Lonchura striata: one gene and its partner. The protein of the gene in region 1 binds, or shares a complex with, the protein of each later gene. Links are inferred from orthologs where the notes say so. Each region holds a gene or a part of one and is shown in the gene's direction. Other genes may lie near its edges. The genes, in order: KIF18A and KIFBP.

What was found.
Region 2: the proteins of KIF18A (region 1) and KIFBP are in contact, whole or in part, in a cryo-EM structure (PDB 7RSI), measured with the Homo sapiens proteins. The link is inferred for Lonchura striata from reciprocal best matches to the Homo sapiens genes KIF18A and KIFBP. Residues at the interface, in NP_112494.3 of Homo sapiens: Glu181, Thr183, Gln184, Lys185, Gly186, Arg274, Phe275, Val276, Glu277, Gly278, Thr279, Asn280, Ile281, Arg283, Ser284, Leu285, Leu288, Gly289, Val291, Ile292, Arg314, Lys317, Asp318, Gly322, Asn323; in NP_056449.1 of Homo sapiens: Ser150, Glu151, Tyr212, Tyr213, Gln216, His220, Gln238, Ile251, Asn252, Thr255, Gln258, Asn262, Gly414, Tyr415, Val459, Asp460, Leu461, Asn462, Pro463, Gln464, Leu467.

The regions. Positions count from the first base shown.
Region 1 is NC_134608.1:61,992,961-62,002,331, forward strand, and holds the start of KIF18A (kinesin-like protein KIF18A), read left to right. Parts: upstream 1-5,247; 5' UTR 5,248-5,402; intron 5,403-6,055; exon of another isoform or gene 6,056-6,184; 5' UTR 6,185-6,243; coding exon 6,244-6,568; intron 6,569-7,234; coding exon 7,235-7,392; intron 7,393-8,288; coding exon 8,289-8,393; intron 8,394-9,298; coding exon 9,299-9,371.
Region 2 is NC_134609.1:34,940,265-34,949,827, reverse strand, and holds the start of KIFBP (KIF-binding protein), read left to right. Parts: upstream 1-5,893; 5' UTR 5,894-5,921; coding exon 5,922-6,263; intron 6,264-8,535; coding exon 8,536-8,634; intron 8,635-9,563. Other genes in the region: nucleolar RNA helicase 2, read left to right, coding at 151-296, 555-704, 1,499-1,660, 2,219-2,338, 2,764-2,837, 3,594-3,753, 4,297-4,431, 4,811-4,855 and 1 more. UniProt on the Homo sapiens protein: Activator of KIF1B plus-end-directed microtubule motor activity. Required for organization of axonal microtubules, and axonal outgrowth and maintenance during peripheral and central nervous system development.

The DNA.
Region 1 (9,371 bases):
AAGATCAGGGGCTGAGGTAAGAACAGTTTACAGGAAATGCAATGGGATAAGAAAATAAAAAGTAACCAACAAATAAACAGCAAAAGTGCACAAGGGAGGGGAGGGATTCCCACGGGAATTCTCACCATTCTACCACAAACAATATCTGACTGCCACCACTCTGCCCTGCCCTGGGAAAGGACCCTTTCCCCATGCCCAGAAAATGACATGAGGTGCTATAAAATTGCCTCTGGGTTCTGGCCATGGCCTCTCCTGCCTACTGCAATAATTAACCCTGTCCTGTCCAGAACCAGGACACAGGCATAGGAAACAACAAATCATCCTTTCTGAAGAGCTAACTTTTCCAGTATAACTGCAGCCCACAAATTATTTTATCTACCATGTACGTATATCAAGAGTTTTTTTCATTGCATAGTGCATCATTTTTTTTCTGTAAATATGTTGCAGATGTCCTTTCTCACAAAAAGAAGGGGACAAGGTGAAGAAGTCTATTATCTTTGTTCTCTGAGTGATGTTCAAGGCCAATAAAGGGCAAGAATCCAAGGCCATTCTTTCTCTTGTTTAACCAATTCTGCGCATAAGAACCAGACTTTAAGAGCCATACTAGACAATCACTGTTAACATTATAAAGGAAGATTTTTTTTTTCCTTTTATTCATGAGTATTTCTGTGACATGCCAGAGATTCTTTTTTTATATAATATATTTATATTTTTTTTATTTACATCTCTGTTTAATACAGCCTTCCTACCTGCATACTCTGATAGGATCCTTTCTTCTTTTAAGCCAGAAAGCCAGTTTTAGTCTTTTGTTTCTAGACAATTGCTCCTGACCCCATGCCGCAGTTTTGGTTGTGCCAACACACCTGCACATGGAGTTGCCTGGGTTAGGATAAAAAGCTTTCAGGTTTTTCAGTTTGTTATTTAACCTGAGTGCATCTACAGCATATTGCCATAAATGCTTCAAGTTGCCACACTCAGATGACAATATCAGAAGGGCAGGAAACATTGGTAAGGGGGAAGAATGATGTATGAAAATCATGAGGGTATCTTGTGAGATAGTTTGTGATTGATAGGATATTTTTAATAAAGCATTTTTTAAGTTACTAAAATTTAAAATGACATCACAAAAGTCAGGAAAAAAAAATTTAGTTATGGCTCCTCTTTTTCAGCACCACACCTTTTGGACATATTCTTAGTAATTTTATTCCTGGTATTTCTGTTATGTGCAGAAGTGGAACACATGTCTAGGTTCACTTCTTCCCTCTATCCATTTTTAAAAATTTTTGAATAATGTTTGTTTTCAGGGAAAGTTTGTTTTTCTGCTCTTAATGGCCTGGGTCATAATTTCTGTTGCTATGTTTGACGTTTCTACAGTGTGAATTCGGTAGCAGTAATATTAGTAATAACAACACCCCAGCAGATAAGAAATAGAAAACAGAGGGTTTAATAGTCCCATCACCAGAACACTTTTTTCATGTGAATAACACGTGCCTGAAACAGCTATCTTAAATGACATGAAATTAAATTAACTAATATTCAAATCTTCCAAGTCTTCCATACTTGTGGAATTTGGATTTGGTCCTTTGCTCTTGCTCAGTCTGGGGCTGGGCTGTTATGAGACACCTTTTTTTTCTTCTTTTGGATCTGCTACTAGTTCAATTGTCTGGGCAGTAGAGCTGTCAGGTAACTGCATTTTCCACTTCCCCTTCTGCAGCTCAGAGGAGAAAGGGGGATGGACCTTCTAGGACCAGTGACCTTCTCTACACCAATCCTGCCTCTTCTCCAGAGAAGGGCTACATTTTTTCGGATTCATTTGGCTTTCTATGGGATTGCTACTTGTACAACCTTGAAGGTAACTTTGAAATCAGGACAAGCTGGCTTTAATCTTTATTGTTGAAGCCATAAAAGAGCTTGCTTTAATATTTTCAGTAATGTTTTCCCAAAATTTATTTTCACGTCAGTACACTCTCTTCACACCCTCAATAATTCCACTGCCTATTCTCCAAGACTTAAAATAACTAGTTGTTTCTTTAGCTTCCAGCTCTACCTTTGGGAAGAGTAGCAGATTTTCCTCTCATTAATTCACTTCCCATTATTTAATCTCAGCCATTTTTATTGTCAGTTACATGTCTTATTACTATGCTCATGTGATAGCTTTCCTAGTCATCACTGACCATTTTTATTTCAGTTTGGCATTTTCTCTTTAATGTCTCTTACTTTTAATTTAACATATACTAATTTTATTTTAAAAGATCATCAGTTTCCCAGTAACCTATTTTGCTGTCTTTCATCTCTTCCTGTTCATTCCTCAATTATGAACTGTAGAGACTATGGACAGGTTTTATGGGATATATATTATAAAAGCAGGCTTTTGGCTGTGAAAATAAACAGAAATTTAAAAATTCATCAGAATTAAATGAAGTGGAAACCTAAATCCACATGCTAGGCAAAGACCCTCATTTGTCTTGCCATACATAACATAGATTTTTCTTTAAACAGGCCTTCACCAAGAAAAATAGATGTGCTGACCTCTTACCCTTAGCTCTATCAGAGGACATGCAGAAATGTCTCACACTCCATAAAGTGTGACCATACACACTTAAAGCTAATATTATATATAAATAGTATTTTTTATATGTAAGTATAGTATATATATCTATTTATATCTATTGTATGTAATACTATATATTGAATTATATATACTAGTATTATATATTAAACTAATACAACTATATAATATATATTGTTAATATAGCTATATTTATTATATTATGTTATATTATGTTATATTATATGCTATAATTATTTATAACTGCCTCTCACTCTTGTGTAGAAACATAATAGTCTCTCACTGGAGACTATACTGTTTGGAAGAATCCCCACCAACTTTCAGACCATAGAGAGGTGGGTTCAGTTCTCGTTGTTAACTCTGTTCCCTCGTTTCCACTGAAACATGCCTAACTTGAAATGGGAAGGTTTACCTGTCAGTTCTGCTGTGTTAATCCTTTGTTCTGCTGCTTGGAGAGGTCAGTGGGCTGTTTGAACAGGGATGGTGGTACAGCTGCTCTGGCAAACTGCACTGATGCCACGCTGCAAGGCTCAAGGGTTATGCTCCCCTGAACTGACCCAAAGATCTCCAACAATTCCCGCCCACAACCACCGCCACTTCCTAGCCTTTTGTTCCTGTCTTTGCCTCACCTCTTCACTCCAAATGCCACTGTCTGGGTGCACACAGTGACTGTTCAGATATTTTGATAGCATGGCCATGAAATCACAAATCGTTTCTTCTCAATTTCAGTAACTGTTTCATCCCTGCTGGGTTAAATAGCATCACTTACTACCTTCTGTAGCTTCTATCTGTCTGCACAAATGAGCAGGCAACATGTTTTGCTTCAGATACGAGCAAATTTTTGGGAAACTGATCCTTGATTCCAACACTTACTAATTTAGAAACAGATAATTTTCAATATAAGGTTTTAATTATGGTCTCATTTATGGCAGTTCTATTATTGTAAAATTGACAAATCTCTTGGATAGCCAATATTCTTATGGGCAGCATGACTTAATACATGTTAAATACTACACATTTAATTTTACTGATAAAGTCTGAAATTCATGTCATCTCACAACCTTACATATTCTTTCAATCAAAAAACTCTCCTTCTATGTCTGCCCCTTTCCACACTGCTAGAAATGGCAAAATCAGGCTTCTGAGATTCCCTTTTTCTCTTTTTCAAGTGAAATGCAAAGGTTTAAAAATCACTGGAGAAAACAGGAATTCAAGCCCTATATTATTTACATGAGTAAGAATTCTACAGATGGAGCCTGACATAAAGGTGATTCAGTGGCGTGGGTTAAGAAATTTCTCCAAACCTTTTTACACAAATAGGAATATCTCATCTAGTGTTTTTCTGAGACTTTTATATTGTATTTTGAGTAATTACATATTTCAGGTATTTTCTTTATGTGTGGACTTACTGGAACTGACTTTTCATTGAGCAGTGAGGTAGACTGGTAAAATCTAATTTGTAGTCTTTGCTTCCAATACAGACTACAGGGACTTTACAGTAATTCCCCCAGCTTAAATTTGCAAGTGCACCTCACTCTAGCTTTGGGCAGACACGCAGGTGTGTGTTTCACCACAAGCCATAGTGTGCCTACAGAAAACACATCTATGACCATGGTGTGCTCTGCTGGTTTTGCCCGGGCTGGAGTTAATTTTCTCCCCAGCAGCTGAGCTGGGGCTGGTTTGGATTTCTGCTGGCACAGCACGGAGGAGACACAGCTGGGCAGGAGACCCAGATGCACCCAAGGGATATTCCAGACCAAAGGACACGGTAATCCGGACAGAAACGCGGGAAGAGGACGACTGGGGTGGTGGCATTGGTGTTCCCAAGTGACCACTGTTATCTGCGATGGGCCCCGCTCTCCTGGAGATGGCTGGACCAGGGGAAGGCATTCCTTGTTTTGCTCTGCCTGCCTGCACAGCCTTTGACTCCCCCGTGAAACTCTCTCCACTCAGCCGCTGTTTCTGCCTTCCCACCCTTCCCCTTCTGTCCCGGCCCCTCTGTGAGGGCGAGGAGCGGCTGAACGGGACCAGGGCCACCATCCCCTGCCCGGCCCGGGGGTGACGCGAGGGACTCCGCTCACAGCCACGGCCTCCTGCCCACGGGAGATCTCAGCGGCGAGCACGCCGGCCGGATTTCATTTCATTTCTCTAACAGTGCTCGCCAGAAGGGAACCGGGCCCCACTGCAGGCTGCCGCCCTGGGATCGGCCCTGCGCTAAAGCAGCGAGGACAAAATCCCCGCCCGAAGCACTTTCGGTCAGAGCCGACCGGAGCAGCGGCAGCGGCCGCGGCCCGCGCCGGGCCCGAGCGGGAGGAGCGGCCGGGGGCTGTCCCCGGCCAAGCCGGGCCGGGCCGGACCGATACGCGGAGCAGAGGCCGCCCCGGGAGCGCCTCCCTTCCCTCACGCCGGCCGCCCTTCCCTCCGCGCCCTCTCTTCCCTCCCCGCGGGCCCCGCCGCCGCCCCCCGCGCGCCCGGCCTCACGCACTTACCGCCGGCGCTCCGGTGACGTCACAGGCCACAGCCAATGGGAAGGCGAGGAGCGCGGCCTGGCCGGGTTTGAATCCCGCGGCCGGCGGATGGCGGTTGGTGCTGGTGCGGCCGCGGGGAGAGCGGAGCGAGAGAGCGAGAGAGAGAGCGGGCACGGCCCGGGGAGAGCAGAGCGAGAGAGCGAGAGAGCGAGAGAGCGAGAGAGAGAGCGGGCACGGCCCGGGGAGAGCAGAGCGAGAGAGCGAGAGAGAGAGCGGGCACGGCTCGGGGAGAGCAGAGCGAGACAGCGAGCACGGCTCGGGGAGAGACGGAGCGAGAGACGGAGCGAGAGAGCGAGCACGGTCCGGTGAGAGACGGAGCGAGGGAGCGGGCACGGCCCGGCGAGGGAGCGGGCACGGCCCGGGCACGGCCGGCCGAGCCCCGGGCACGGGGAGCGGAGCCCCGGCCGCAGGCGGAGCCCGGCAGCGGCTCTGCGGCCGGCCCTGGAGCGCTCCGGCCGCAGGGCCCGGCCCGGCGCCGTGCCCCGGGGAGGAGCGGCCCGCGGGGCCAGGCGCTGCCGCGGAGCCGGGCGGGCCGGCAGCGGCTCGGCCGGGAGAGGAGCCGGCCCTGGGCCGGCAGCGGGAGCTGCGCCGTGTCCGCCGCTGGGGTGAGCGCAGCCGCTGGGAACCGCAGAAATGGGATATGCGAGGAAATCCCGCTCGTGTCGGTCACTGCGGCCCGTGCCGGGCACCTTCACCTAAATCCCGCTTCAGCTCTTCAACGCTCCCTGCGACGTGGCTGTGTCTGTCCAGGGAGGGCAACACGGGAAAGGCTGCTGGCTTTAGCCCACAGAAACGTGGTGTCCGGTCTGAAAGCTGGGTCTGCTATAGAGGGAAGCCTGTAGGGCATTGAGTATTTGAATTGTGAAATGAACTTCAGAGTTCCCTGGGGCAGTGCTGGTCGGCTTTCTGAGAGCTGTGCTGAGTTCAGTCATCCTTTGGGGCGCTTACAGAGCTTCCCAAAGCCTCGCTGCCCTGGGGCAGTCCCATGACAAGGGATGGGCCCAGCACAGGGCCCTGACCGAATGTGTGAATGGCTGGAAAGAGTGAAGGCTCATATTGAAATAAATGTTCTCTGTGTCAATTGCAGAAAGGATTCAGCTGCTGGATCTGACCGAGTGCTGGCAGTGAGGCTGGGGAGCAGGAGGGATGACTCCAGCCAGGGAAGATGTCTGCAGCCATGTCAAAGTGGTGGTCCGTGTCCGGCCAGAGAGCCAGAAAGAAAAGCAGGGCAGCTTCAGCAGGGTGGTGCGTGTCATTGACCAGCACGTGCTGGTCTTTGACCCAAAGGAGGAAGAGGTTGGCTTCTTCAGCAGAAGGAGAGTGATCCATAGGGATATCAATAAAAGACAAAGGAAAGACCTGAAGTTCATGTTTGATGCCATTTTTGATGACAGCTCATCCCAGTTGGAAGTTTTTGAGCATACTACCAAAAATCTAATTGATGGCTTCCTAAATGGATATAACTGTACAGGTAACTTTGTTATTTATCTTATTTAATTGAAAAACTTACGGGGATTTCTCAACATTTGTACCATTCTGTCCAATAGCTGCAGGAGCGTTAAAAAAGCCTGAGATAGAAATAAAGCATTGTGATTTAATTCACAGATATGAAAGGCTGACATTTTAGCATATAGAAGTTAGATAGCTCTACTCCATTTTAAAAATAAGTTTGTGTTAAGGTTATAATAGACTTGGGAATTTTATCTAAAATATATGTGATAATGGGAGTCCTCTAGAGTTATTCAAGCAGAAGCAGTTGTGTCACTGAGTGTATGACATAAGCTGCTTTATGAACTCTTTAAGATCTTGGGGCTTTTTAATTGGCTGCTGGACTCTGGTGAGGAATTGAAATGCCTATCAGCAATAAGTTGATGGCTTAGGGTTATGAGAGTAAGTAAATAATATTTTTATGTGACGTAGCAGTGAATGAATTTTGAACTGAAAATTCGAAAATGTTATTTGGAAACATCTCTAATTAGAGATCTGAAAGGTAAAGTTTAAGTAAGAAACTATCTATTTATGAAACAGTTGTGCAGAATGACAGAGGTCTATAAATGTTCTTTTGTCTTTGGTGTTCCTGATTAGCTTACAAATAAGTTACATGTTTTTGTTTTGTCGTTGTTTGGGGGAAATTCAGTGCTTGCATATGGTGCAACAGGAGCTGGAAAGACTCACACAATGTTAGGTTCTCCTGAAGATCCTGGAGTCATGTATTTAACTATGGTCACACTTTATAAACGCATGGATCAAATAAAAGATGATAAAACATGTGATGTTGCTGTCTCTTATTTGGAGGTGAGTTCCTGCATTTTATATGTTGCTTTGAATAAGTCATATTTGTAAGTAAAGACAAGCTGGTTTTGCTTTCCTCTGGTCCTTTCTGGGGCTTGACAAAAGGTGTCCTTATAGGAGTGGAACTGCCTTGTTGGTGTTCCTTGTTGGTGATTTGTGTTCCTAGGCACCTATCACTGTTTTACAGAATGCTGCCCAAAAAACACCACTTCTACCATACTTACTGATTGTTCATGATTTGTGTCTTGCCTCTGAGCATCTGTTGATGTGTACAAGGAAATATCATTTCAGGGTAATATTTTAGGACTTCACAGTAACATCCTGTAATACTGTGAAAAAGCACCACAAAATGGTCTTCTGTTTTTACAAATAAATGTTTTGGCACTGTTGCTGAAGGGTGCTAGTCAAATGGTTATCTTTTTAGCTCCTTCAGTGTCTTAATGGACTCTAGTTGGTACTTGGGAGGGGTAGAAGGAGATGGGGAAAGTTTGCCTTGCCATATGCTTCTACAGACCAAGAAATAAGAGATTTAAAAATTTTAACAGAAGTAGGTTTGAACTAAGAAATGTCACTGAAGTAGGGATTGTGATACACAATGGGGAAAACCAAATGCTTTGCATTCATGCTTGTTGCAAAACTGTTTTTTTGTAAAAAAAGGTAATTTTTTCAATAAAGAATAAAGATTATTTACTAAAAATAATTACTCCTAAAATCTAAAAAGAAATCATATGAATTGAATATTTAAGCTTGGTATGGGGAAAATGTAAAAAAATTATAGCCAGAATTCTTTTCTTTGTCCTAAAGGAGTATTAAAAAAGACTGGTGAATTCTGTTTATTTAATTCTGTCAGCTATGGGAAGATATTTTTATAAAAATATCTTTTTCATTTCCTTTCAAAGGTTTACAATGAACAGATTCGTGATCTGCTGGTCAACTCTGGACCTCTGGCTGTTCGTGAGGATGGCCAGCAAGGGGTGGTAGTTCAAGGTCTGACACTGCATCAGGTGTGTAAATATCTCTAGAAACTTAAAATGTGCTTGAGATATTTGAGAACATTCCCATTGTTCTATGTGAGAGTTTAATGGAATTTGATCATTTCCTAGTGGGTTTTTTTCTGGCAATAAGCACCAGTAACTTGAAAATCTAATTAATTAGTTAAAAGTACATTGTGGAAAAAAACCTGCTAGTCTTGTTGAATGAAAATATAGAAGCATTCAGTCTTTGATATCAAAAGGGTACATTGACTTGATGCTTATCCAGCAGATTTTGGAAGATTTGTTTTTGGGCTAAAATATCTTGGCATTGCCTTCATTACCACCTTGGAGTGCTCTACACAGCTGTGAAGTCTAAAGGTTGTTTTTGTTTGTAAATAACCATGTTTTAAGAGTTCCATGTTAACTTACTTTTCCAGACCAGCACAGCAATTCTTTGGTAAGGTCAGTGATAGAATTTAGTTTTCCAATCTGAATATCCATTCCTGTGGACCTATTTTCTTGCAGCTTTGTGTGTGTTACGTGCTGTGACAGGAAACAATATTCTAAGCTTGCCTAGCTCTGTGAACATACTTCTTCCCAAACCTTGAGTCTTGTGAGGAAAAGACTTCTCTTGTAGTAAAGCATTGAATAGTGGTATACTAATTTAAGTCCAGACATTCCAATCTAAAAATATTTTCTGATTTAAGTTGCTGCACTTAAGTGCTTGCTTCTCATACCTTACTGCTTTTTAGCTGAGAATATTTGACGTGCCTCAATTCAAAACCAGGAAATTTCTTACTTCTAGGTAGCTAAAATTTGAAGTTTAATTTTTTTTGAAGGCAAATGTTAAAGTAAATGTATTTTCGAATCAGTGTATTCCTATAATGGATGGAAAAGGAAAGAAACTTATATATTTATGTGTTCTACTCTTAAAGCCTAAATCAGCAGAGGAGATCCTTCAGATGCTGGATTATGGAAACAAAAATAGAACCCAGCATCCCACAGATG
Region 2 (9,563 bases), on another chromosome or scaffold:
AAGCTGATAGCTGGCAGTGTTTCTTCACATCTTGTACAGACTTAGTGCACATAGAAATCTGTCAGCGTAAGAGCAACTCTTGCTTTTTTTATCAGTTTTCAAGTGTCAGGATCTTTTGAGATACCTGAAGTCGATGGCCTTTCCTTGCAGGCTCCGAGAACAACCCGCAGACGCTGCTGTTCTCTGCAACTTGTCCACGATGGGTTTATGATGTAGCAAAAAAATACATGCGAGATGAATATGAACAGATTGACCTGATTGGAAAGAAGACTCAAAGGACAGCCACAACTGTGGAAGTGAGTTCTGCTGCAGAGAAGTGCAGATCCTGAGAGCAAGTGGCCTTGATAACATGGGTTATGCATTGATTTTATAAATAGGTGTGTGGAATGACTTTTCACATAGCCGACACACAGATTTTGTAAGCAAAGCTTACATGTGGGACCTGTTGTTTGCAAGCTTAAAAAAAAAATTAAAATGCTTCTTTTGTTCATGCTGTCCGTCCTGTGTGTGTGTGTCTCAGATTAACATAGGTTTCTTGTTTCTTTCCCAAACAGCACTTGGCCATACAGTGTCGCTCATCTCAGAGGGCAGGAGTTCTTGGGGACATCATCCAGGTCTACAGTGGCAGCCATGGGCGGACCATTGTCTTTTGTGAGACCAAAAAGGAAGCAAATGAGTTGGCTATGAATGCTTCTCTCAAACAGGTACCAGAGCTGAGTGGTTGGGATTGCCAGGCGTTGAATGCCCTGAAGTAAATAGGAGGTTGCAACTGTGTAGAGAAAATTGTTCCTGTGCATGATTTTAAGACTTGTTTCTAAAAATTCAGCTTTGAAGTTAAAATATCCTCGTGACAGAGATGATGAATTTATTCCTTTGGCTTTAAATTAGTGTAGGAATGGATCAATAGGAAATACACAGCCTATGCTGAATAACCAGGAGATAGTACTAATTGCAAGAAACAGGAGCTAGTGTAGTGGACAAGTCCCATCTTGTGTTAATGTGCTTTTTGGATTCCCATTTATTAATGGCATTTGGTCTTTGAACAGTCATTTAGGAAAATCCAATATGGTAGAATGAGATGTCTTGTTGCCCTTGGAAGGTTTACCAAAGTGATCTGTTGAGCAAGTCTTTCGTGCTTGCTTGAATTACTGCCCTTTTTCTGAATGTGAGGAAAAGTGCTGCATAATTCTCAGAGAAAATCCTGTTTGATAATAAATGTTGATTTATGGAGAGTAAAAGTGATGGGAATACATGGTTTGCCTATGTACCATCCGCAATAAAAAATTGCAGCAATAATTTCTGCTTGTTGGCCATGCTGCTTTCACAGTAAATCCCAGAGAAGGATCAAATAAAGTAGGATGCTTTATATTCCTTTGGTATCAGCTATGTAATTATTTTCTGTTGCTGTGCACAGTGTTTTGAGGTTTGCAGTTACTCTTTAGATGCTGCAGCCTAGACTCCCATTAAATGTCATGTTAATGGCTTGTTTTATTGACAGGATGCCCAGTCCTTGCATGGTGACATTCCACAGAAACAGAGAGAAATCACATTAAAAGGCTTCAGAAATGGTGTGTTCGAAGTGCTGATTGCAACAAATGTAGCTGCCCGTGGTTTGGATATTCCTGAGGTTGACCTTGTTATACAGTGCTCACCACCAAAAGTAAGTCATTAGAGGAAACTAAAATTGGATTAGCTTTATTTTGGTGCCAGAATAGTGGGTTATTCCTTTGTTTCATCAGAAGTATGTTCTGTTCCAATTAATTTTTGAATTAATTAATGTTTTGTAAATGTGAGGCCTAAAATTTCATAGTTACAGTTTTTCAGTTTGAGCTTTGATTAAAGTCTTGGGTTTTGTTTACTCTGGAAACTCACAGGTTTTGACATTGTGAAACTTTCCTGAATTCTTTCTGCATGTTGCTGAGTTTCATAAAAATTCTAAAATATTTTTGCTGCTTTTTTAATCTTTTGCAACTCCAGTGGAACATTTTATTTAGAAAACTTAAAATGTCTGTCAGCAGTGTTTGTTAAAGCTGAGCAGCATACTTTGGGTGGGGGAGCACATGCAATCCTGAGTGGTTTATGTGTAATTGTAAGTTTGGGTATAAACACATAATGTGTCACTCCTTAGGCTTCTGAGTTTGAATTTAGCTTGTGTTTAATCTGAAATGTCAGCAGTTTAAATAACATAGTTTTCTCGTGTTGATCTGAATTTGTGAAGGATGTGGATTCTTACATCCACCGTTCTGGACGCACGGGCCGAGCGGGCCGGACCGGCATCTGCATTTGTTTGTTTCAGAGAAGAGAAGAAGATCTTCTGAAGCAAGTCGAGCACAAAGCGGTGAGTTGTACCTCAGAGCTCTGCTTAAGGAAATGGATCAGCTCCTGAAAGGACCCTGCCACTCTTGGACTTGGTAATCGTGGGTTGCTGAGTCCAGAATGGGAGTGTCCAGTGCCATAAACTAGTAGGCCCAAAGTGCTGATATTTGGTGTTTGTAAATGCTTTTGTGTTGGCCTGTTCTTGCATTGCCTGAGTTTTCCCGTGCAACATGCACTGTGTGCCTTGCATCACAGTGTGCATGTACATTGGAGTGAAGTAACTCCAGATTAACAAAGCTGGGAACTTAAAAGCTTTTTTATCACTTTAGAAATGACTTAATAAAGAGTATGTTGATCTTGCAAACAGTAAGTAGAGATCTCAGTTACATAATTTAGACAGGACTGAATTGTAGACTGCTGAAAATACCTTTGTTTTCTTGATTTCAGGGTATTACCTTTAAGCGTGTGGGTGTTCCCTCTGCTACAGATGTAATTAAAGCTTCAAGTAGTGATGCCAAAAAGTAAGTTTATTTGCCTGTTCTTGAGAAAGATTTAGAGATGTTGTTGCTCTAGATGCTTAAGAGTTTAATGCACAATTTTAAGGGATCAGGCCTACATGTGAGCATGGCTTTGCCTGTGTTGTAGAAGTCAGCTGCTTTGTGTATAGCAAACATAAGATGGTATCAGTAACGCTCTGTGTGCTGAACACAGACATTTTCATAGAACATAATGTTCTCTAAGTTTTTGCAGCAAACGAACCTTTGTTTATAAAATCAGAAATCAGTGACAGAAGAAGGAATTACTATCAAGAGGGGAAGATGATTTTATCTGCTCAGATGACGTGGTGGAAGCAGTGCGCAAAGAGCAATACTTGGTATAATGAGGAGTTATTCTGCAGTAGTGAGGGTGTTTTAGCCCTGACTTTTGTTTCATTATATTATTTCTGAGGGTTGTGGCTCTGTTTACATCATGCAGCTCTGTTTAAATTTGCTGCCCTGTGGTGGAAATTGCCTTGAAGCAGGTTATTATAATTAGTGAGGATTTGACCAGTATAAAGTAGATGATGGGCATGGTATTTGGGTTCACAGTGTACTGAAAAATGATGGGGGGAGTGGTTGTACCAGAAATAGCATTACAGAAGTATCTCTTCTTGGATTCCTATCTTTTTTCCCTCCCTACCTTTTTCAGAAAAGACTGATTTAGGGTATATCTTAAACATGGCTGCCCTTCACAATGGCCTTTTCTTATCTCTTTAAACCCATCTTGTAACTGTGTAGGTTGTTGGAGGCTGTTCCTCCTGCTGCAGTGGACTACTTCAGAAAATCGGCCGAGGAGCTGATAAATGAGAAGGGGGCAGTGGCTGCCCTGGCTGCAGCCCTGGCACACATTTCTGGGGCAGCTCACATCCAGCAGCGCTCCCTGCTCAACTCAACAGCTGTAAGTAATGATGTACCCCTGGTAAAAAGGATGGATGCATGAATTGCTTGTGTTTAGGCCATGTCTGGCATCTCATTCCCAGGCTTTTCCTTCTGGGTTTCTGAATAGCTGTTGTCCCCAGGTTCCTTAGCTGAAATCAGCTGTTCCAGGAGAAACTTAAAATCAGTAAACTTTCTTGTGATGAAAATGGAAAGAATTTCTCCAGAGGCTGAAGTGGCAGAAAACTTTGATGCTCTAAGAGAGTTTAACTAATGACATTTTACAATTAATGACAATTTACAAGCAAATAGATTAGTTTGTGCTATTGTGGTTTCCCCCTTATCAAGAATCTTCTACATTTGTCGTAATGCAAGTACAGCCTGTGATTACCTGATCTGTATTTAGGGAGGATGTGGCCTAGGCCCTTGTGTGGTAACCCCATTTTGCACGTAACTGTCTGATTGAATTGTAATTCTTCTATCACTTTGGGTTTTTTAATCTGTTTTCTAGCAGCAGGTTTGACCACGTTCAGCCTTGATAAACGTTTTTCTCCATTTCCTGCAGGGCTTTGTGACCATGGTGTTGAAGTGTTCAATAGAGATGCATAGCATGCGCTATGCCTGGCGGGGGCTGAAGGAGCAGCTTGGGGAGGAGGTCGATAACAAAGTGTCTGCAATGCGTTTCCTCAAGGGGAAGATGGTAAGGTGGCCCAGCCTTGGCAATGAAGGGATGTGGGGCTTTGTGTGTGTTCACATGTCGCCAGTTTGTGCAGGGATTGAGGCTGGAGTTCTGAAGTATTGGTACAGAATGTTGGTACTGCACTGTCCCTACTCAATCTCATTTCTCAGGAAATGGGTAACCTAGCATGAGTATGCTGTTTATGCATATGCTATTGGGAAAAGAAAAGGCTTTGATATTAGTTGAGGGCTTTAAAAGACTTATTAGATAGTACTCATATATGATGATGCAGGAATTGCCTCCTAAAAAAAAGCATCAGAAATAATATGTAGTGGGATTGGTTACTGAGGCTTTTATTCTTTCATTGTTAATCAGTGCCTCTTTTTGTTTGTTTTTTTAGGGCGTGTGCTTTGATATCCCTGTTGATGAACTAAGTAGTATACAGGTATGTTTGTGTAGCCAGAGCTGGCTTTAAAACCTGGTGATATGAAAACTGGCAATTGCCATATAAGATTGAGTATGGGGTGGTTAGGGAGGTTTGTGGTTTAATAAGAATTTTGCATAGGCAACAGAGTGATTAGAAAGAGCACAGCATAATCATTAGAAAATACCCTGCCATGCCTCTTCTCATTTCCATGATATTACTTGATTTCATTAAACAAAATTCTAAGGTCTTTGGCTTTTCTGTGGTCTGGCCTCTCCAGTGTACTTGAGAATTCACCAGTTTTCTGTTGACTTCATTCTCTCTTGTCCCTTGTGATTGTTTAACCTTTGTCACAGGACTGTGAGGGTCTCCCAGGGGGATCTAATGGCCTGTTTTGGCAGGAGTGGGATTTGTCTGGAAATGCCTTAGCATAAAGTCTGGTTCCATGGGTCTTGTTTCAGGAGCAGTGGAGGGACACGCGGCGCTGGCAGCTGTCGGTGGCCAGTGAGCTGCCTGAGCTGGAGGAGTATCCGCAGGAGGGGGGACGAGGCTTCTCCAGGTTTGGGAACAGCAGGCAAGGAGACTTCAAGAGAAACAGCTGGTTCAAGAGCGGAAATCGGGGACTTCAACAGAGCACTTGATTGATCTCCCCTACAAATAGTGGGACTGAACTGAATTTTATGAGGCAGTAAAAACCTGTTAGCCTCCTCTTTGTCTTTATTCCTTGATAAAGCAACCTTGTCTTTGAGGATGGCGAAAAATCATGTTTGCTGAAATGGCTGGGTGTTGTGTGAGATTTTTTTTTCTGCCCAGCAAAGTAGCTGCTGCCTGTAAGGGCATATGTGACCCAGTGGGTGTGCCTGGAAACTCAGCCCTGCGAGGGACCAGAATTCATCCAAGCACGGACAGTGACCGCTCCGTGGCTCTTCAGCAGCGCTAAAAAATCGAGTTCTGAAATAAATTTTTGTCATAAAAGCTGGCGTCCAGCCTGAGCGGGCGGCGGGCTGGCCGCGCTGCGGGCGCTCCCTCACGGCCCGCCGGGGGCGCGGCCATGGCGGGGCGGGGCGGCGCGCGGGCAGGCGGGAAGATGGCGGCGGGCGCCGGCTGGCCCGCGGTGTGCGAGAAGTTCCGCGCCGCCCGCACGCTCTCGGCCGTGGAGTCCCTCAAGGACCCCGAGACGGAGCCCTACCGCTCCAAGTACAGCGCCCGGGCGCTGCTGCAGGAGGTGAAGCAGCTGCTGAGCGCCGCCGAGGAGGGCGGCGAGGCGGTGCTGGCCGTGCGGCGGGCCGTGCTGGAGTACGAGCTGGGCGTCAACCACACGGACACCGAGGAGCTGTCGGCCGGCGAGGAGCACCTGCAGCGCTGCACGCAGCTGCTGGAGCCGCACCGCCTGTCCCCGGACTGCGTGTCCCTGTACATCCAGGCCCAGGTGGGCTGCAGGCCGCGGGGCTGGGCGCGGGGCTCCGGCGGAGCGGGGCCTGGTGTCTGGGGGCTGGGCCGGCTGCTCTATGCGGGGGACTGTGAGGAGATCCGGGCTCCCGCGTCCTGACAGCTGCTGCTCGTTTAACCGTAATAAACACAGCAGCCCTGGCCTTCAGTTCTTGCCGGAAGGAGTCGTTCGCAAGTGGTGGCCGTTGGAGGGGTGCTTTTCTGTTTTGAGCCTCCTGCTGATGCCTCTGGGCATGCGGAGCATCTGAAATATGGCCTCGTTGAAGCTGGGTGTTGATAGATCAGCGTGCTCTTCTGGACAGGCTGAGACAAAACTTGTAAGAACTGTGCCCGAAAAAATTAGAAAAAGACCTCACTACGTCCAGAATTTGTGATTCCTTAACTCGCTGGTTGTCAGAGTGATGCTGGGGGATGCTTTATTGATGCATTATCCTGAAACAATATATTGTTTGTTTTTCAGCACTGCCTCTTATATTGTAAGCTATTACATTTTGTCCCAGATGGATAAATACAGTTTTGTTGGTGCTTGAAGTAATAATATTTTCTCTTTATTCTGAAGAAGGGAATACTGTTACCAAAATTAGTTCTTGGTGCATGAGGATTCACAGAAGGGCCCGTACTTGATCCTCTGTCATGGTAGCTGGTGGTTAGGTATCTGACTCTAGACCATGAAATAGTTTTCTAGTATATGAAATAGAGCAGTTATTTAGATATCTGTGTCAAAAACGGTTGCCCTAATTAGAGATGGCTCTATAGTGCTTCCTCATCGAACTGTCAAGGAATTGTGGGCTGACATGGAAAGGTGGAAGTGAAAGGATCACTTGTCTTACACTGGTTAAATTGGCTGCGTTGTCTGGGACAGTGAGGTTGCATCTGCTCCTTGTATTTCAGCGTGAGGGTTTGGATACGCTGCTACAATTCTGTTACCCTTGGGAAGGTAAGGAGATTGCTCCAGCTGGAGCAAAATAGCATCTTCCCACACCTTCCTGGGGAGATGTGGCTCAGGACCAGAGATTCCACTGTGCTTCTGAACTGGTGTGCTGGAAGGCAGCTCTTCTCTCTCTCTGTTAGCCCAGAGTCTGCAGGACCTCAGTGCTTCGGGGCCTTCAGGAAGCAGCAGGACGGAGTTTGTTATGCATGTGGAGATGTGGTCCAGCAGCGCTGGCTCTGCTGGTACCTGGCACTGTCCTGAGGGGTGGAGCTGAGCACAGCGCTGGGAAATGAGCCCTCAGCCCAAGGGCTGGAACAGGCTTGAGTACTTACTTTAAACCATTTCTGACTTTAAAGCAGTGATTGCCATCAGTGGAAGTACTTTTCCACCTTGTGAGGTGTCTACACTGTGTTGCCATGGCACTGACTGGCATTTTGTAGGAAGAAGCATTCCTTTTTCCTGCTGGGCCTCTTTTTTAGCCCCACTTCTGATTTCTGAGCTCTTGCATAAGATTGTGTTTCCCAGTCTCTGCCTAATGGAGTCTGGTCTGTTCCACTGCTTGGCCTTCGGCAAAGTGTTTCAGTTCATAAACAACATGGGATGTGCTTTCTTATAAAAATAGTAGAATGGAGTTGAAAGGGGCAGAGGGCTGGCATACAGCTGTACATTCTAATTATTTTGAAGGTTTTTAGGGTTTTTTTTTCTTTTGAGTTTCGTAACAGCACTGCCTAGGATTTAAACTAGCACATCATTAGGATTATTATAAACACCACCTTATTAATAAAATGAGAGGTTTTTTTTGTTAAAGTTGGGTTCAGAGATGCAGTTGCTTTAATTTAATTTTGAAGGCAGTAGTCTATAACCTTTAGACCTCAGAGGTGCTTTTCATCCTTTCCATGGTTCAAATATACAAGCATTCATTCCTAGCATATTTTTTTCTTGTTAATTTTTTCTGTGGAGTCATGTTAACAAAATTCTGATTTCTTGTCTCTTTTTATGACATTTGTCTGTGATGTAAAAGCTGCATGAATTGGATGCAGAACATACTCTGTGGAAAAAGCTCATTATTTGAACACACTAGTCCTTCTCTAGCAGAGTGAACAGAGTAGGATTGAGGTACATTTTTATATGAAATTTTCTGTGTGAAAACTCCCTCCCTTTTGAGCAACTCACAGTGAAATGTGTGGGTACAATTTCTGCCTTTTGAAATCCATGGTATTAGAACACAAATATATATAAGGATGAAGACTGATGAATTGTTTGGAAAAAAATGTGTGATTAAAATGGAATGTGACTATTTTTTTTTTTCTTTTACCTTTAGAACAATCTGGGGATCCTGTGGTCTCAAAGGGATGAAATTGAAACTGCACAAACTTACTTGGAATCTGCAGAAGCCTTGTATAATCAGTACATGAAAGAGGTATTGTGTTAATGTCGTGGCAGGTCTTACTCCCATGTGCCACTTCCAGGTTAAGTAATCCATGAAATAAACATGCAATGGAATTTTGAGTTTCTGTGCTTTATACTGGCTGCTGTGATACTTATGCCAAGTGATACAAGTTGTACTGCAGTATAGGACAAGGCAAATTAGAGCATTACTTGCTAATTTCAAAATAGAAAAAAATTTGCTCAAAAATAATGGTCCCTTTTGAAAGCCCTTTAATAATCCAAAGTTGATGCCTGGTAGAATTTGGATTTTAATGAGGACTATTGTTAAATATTATCTTGGAAATGCAATAAAAATGTCCATTGCTTTCAGTGGGAAAAGGAAATAAAACTAATATTTGCATGGTTTGCTCTGGCTGTGCAGTGTTTTGCAGGGGCAAGTAGTTCAGTTCCATATCCAAGAGGACAATCTCACAGACAGCTAACCCTCTCATGCATATTAAACAACCTTTTGAGCTGTGGATTCTGCTGTGTATACTACAAAGACTTCCTTGTGCTATTTTTAAGCTCTTTGCAAAGCTGTTCCTACACTGACTTGCCTCAGGGGCAGTTCTGGAGTGAGCTAAAAACATTTGTGGCCTTCAAGAAGCAATAGCTGTGTCTCAGGACTGCTGAATAGGTTGGACAGACCTTAGTTTCATGAAGTTACAGGTTCAGGTCAGGTTTTGCCTTGAAATTGGTTTAGATTACTGATTATACTTGTGGAGATTTTTAGATTTTTTAAATTGGTTGGTTACTGGTCTCTTTGTGCCTTTGCAGCCATGCTAGCCTACAGTGATAGGAGAGGTAATGGGTATAGAAGAAAGCCCCACTTGTGCTGAAAAGCTTGTCAGCTTAATTCCTGCCCTCTGGATCAGTTGGGCGAACCAGAGATACTGCATCTCTCTAATTTATTCCTGATGT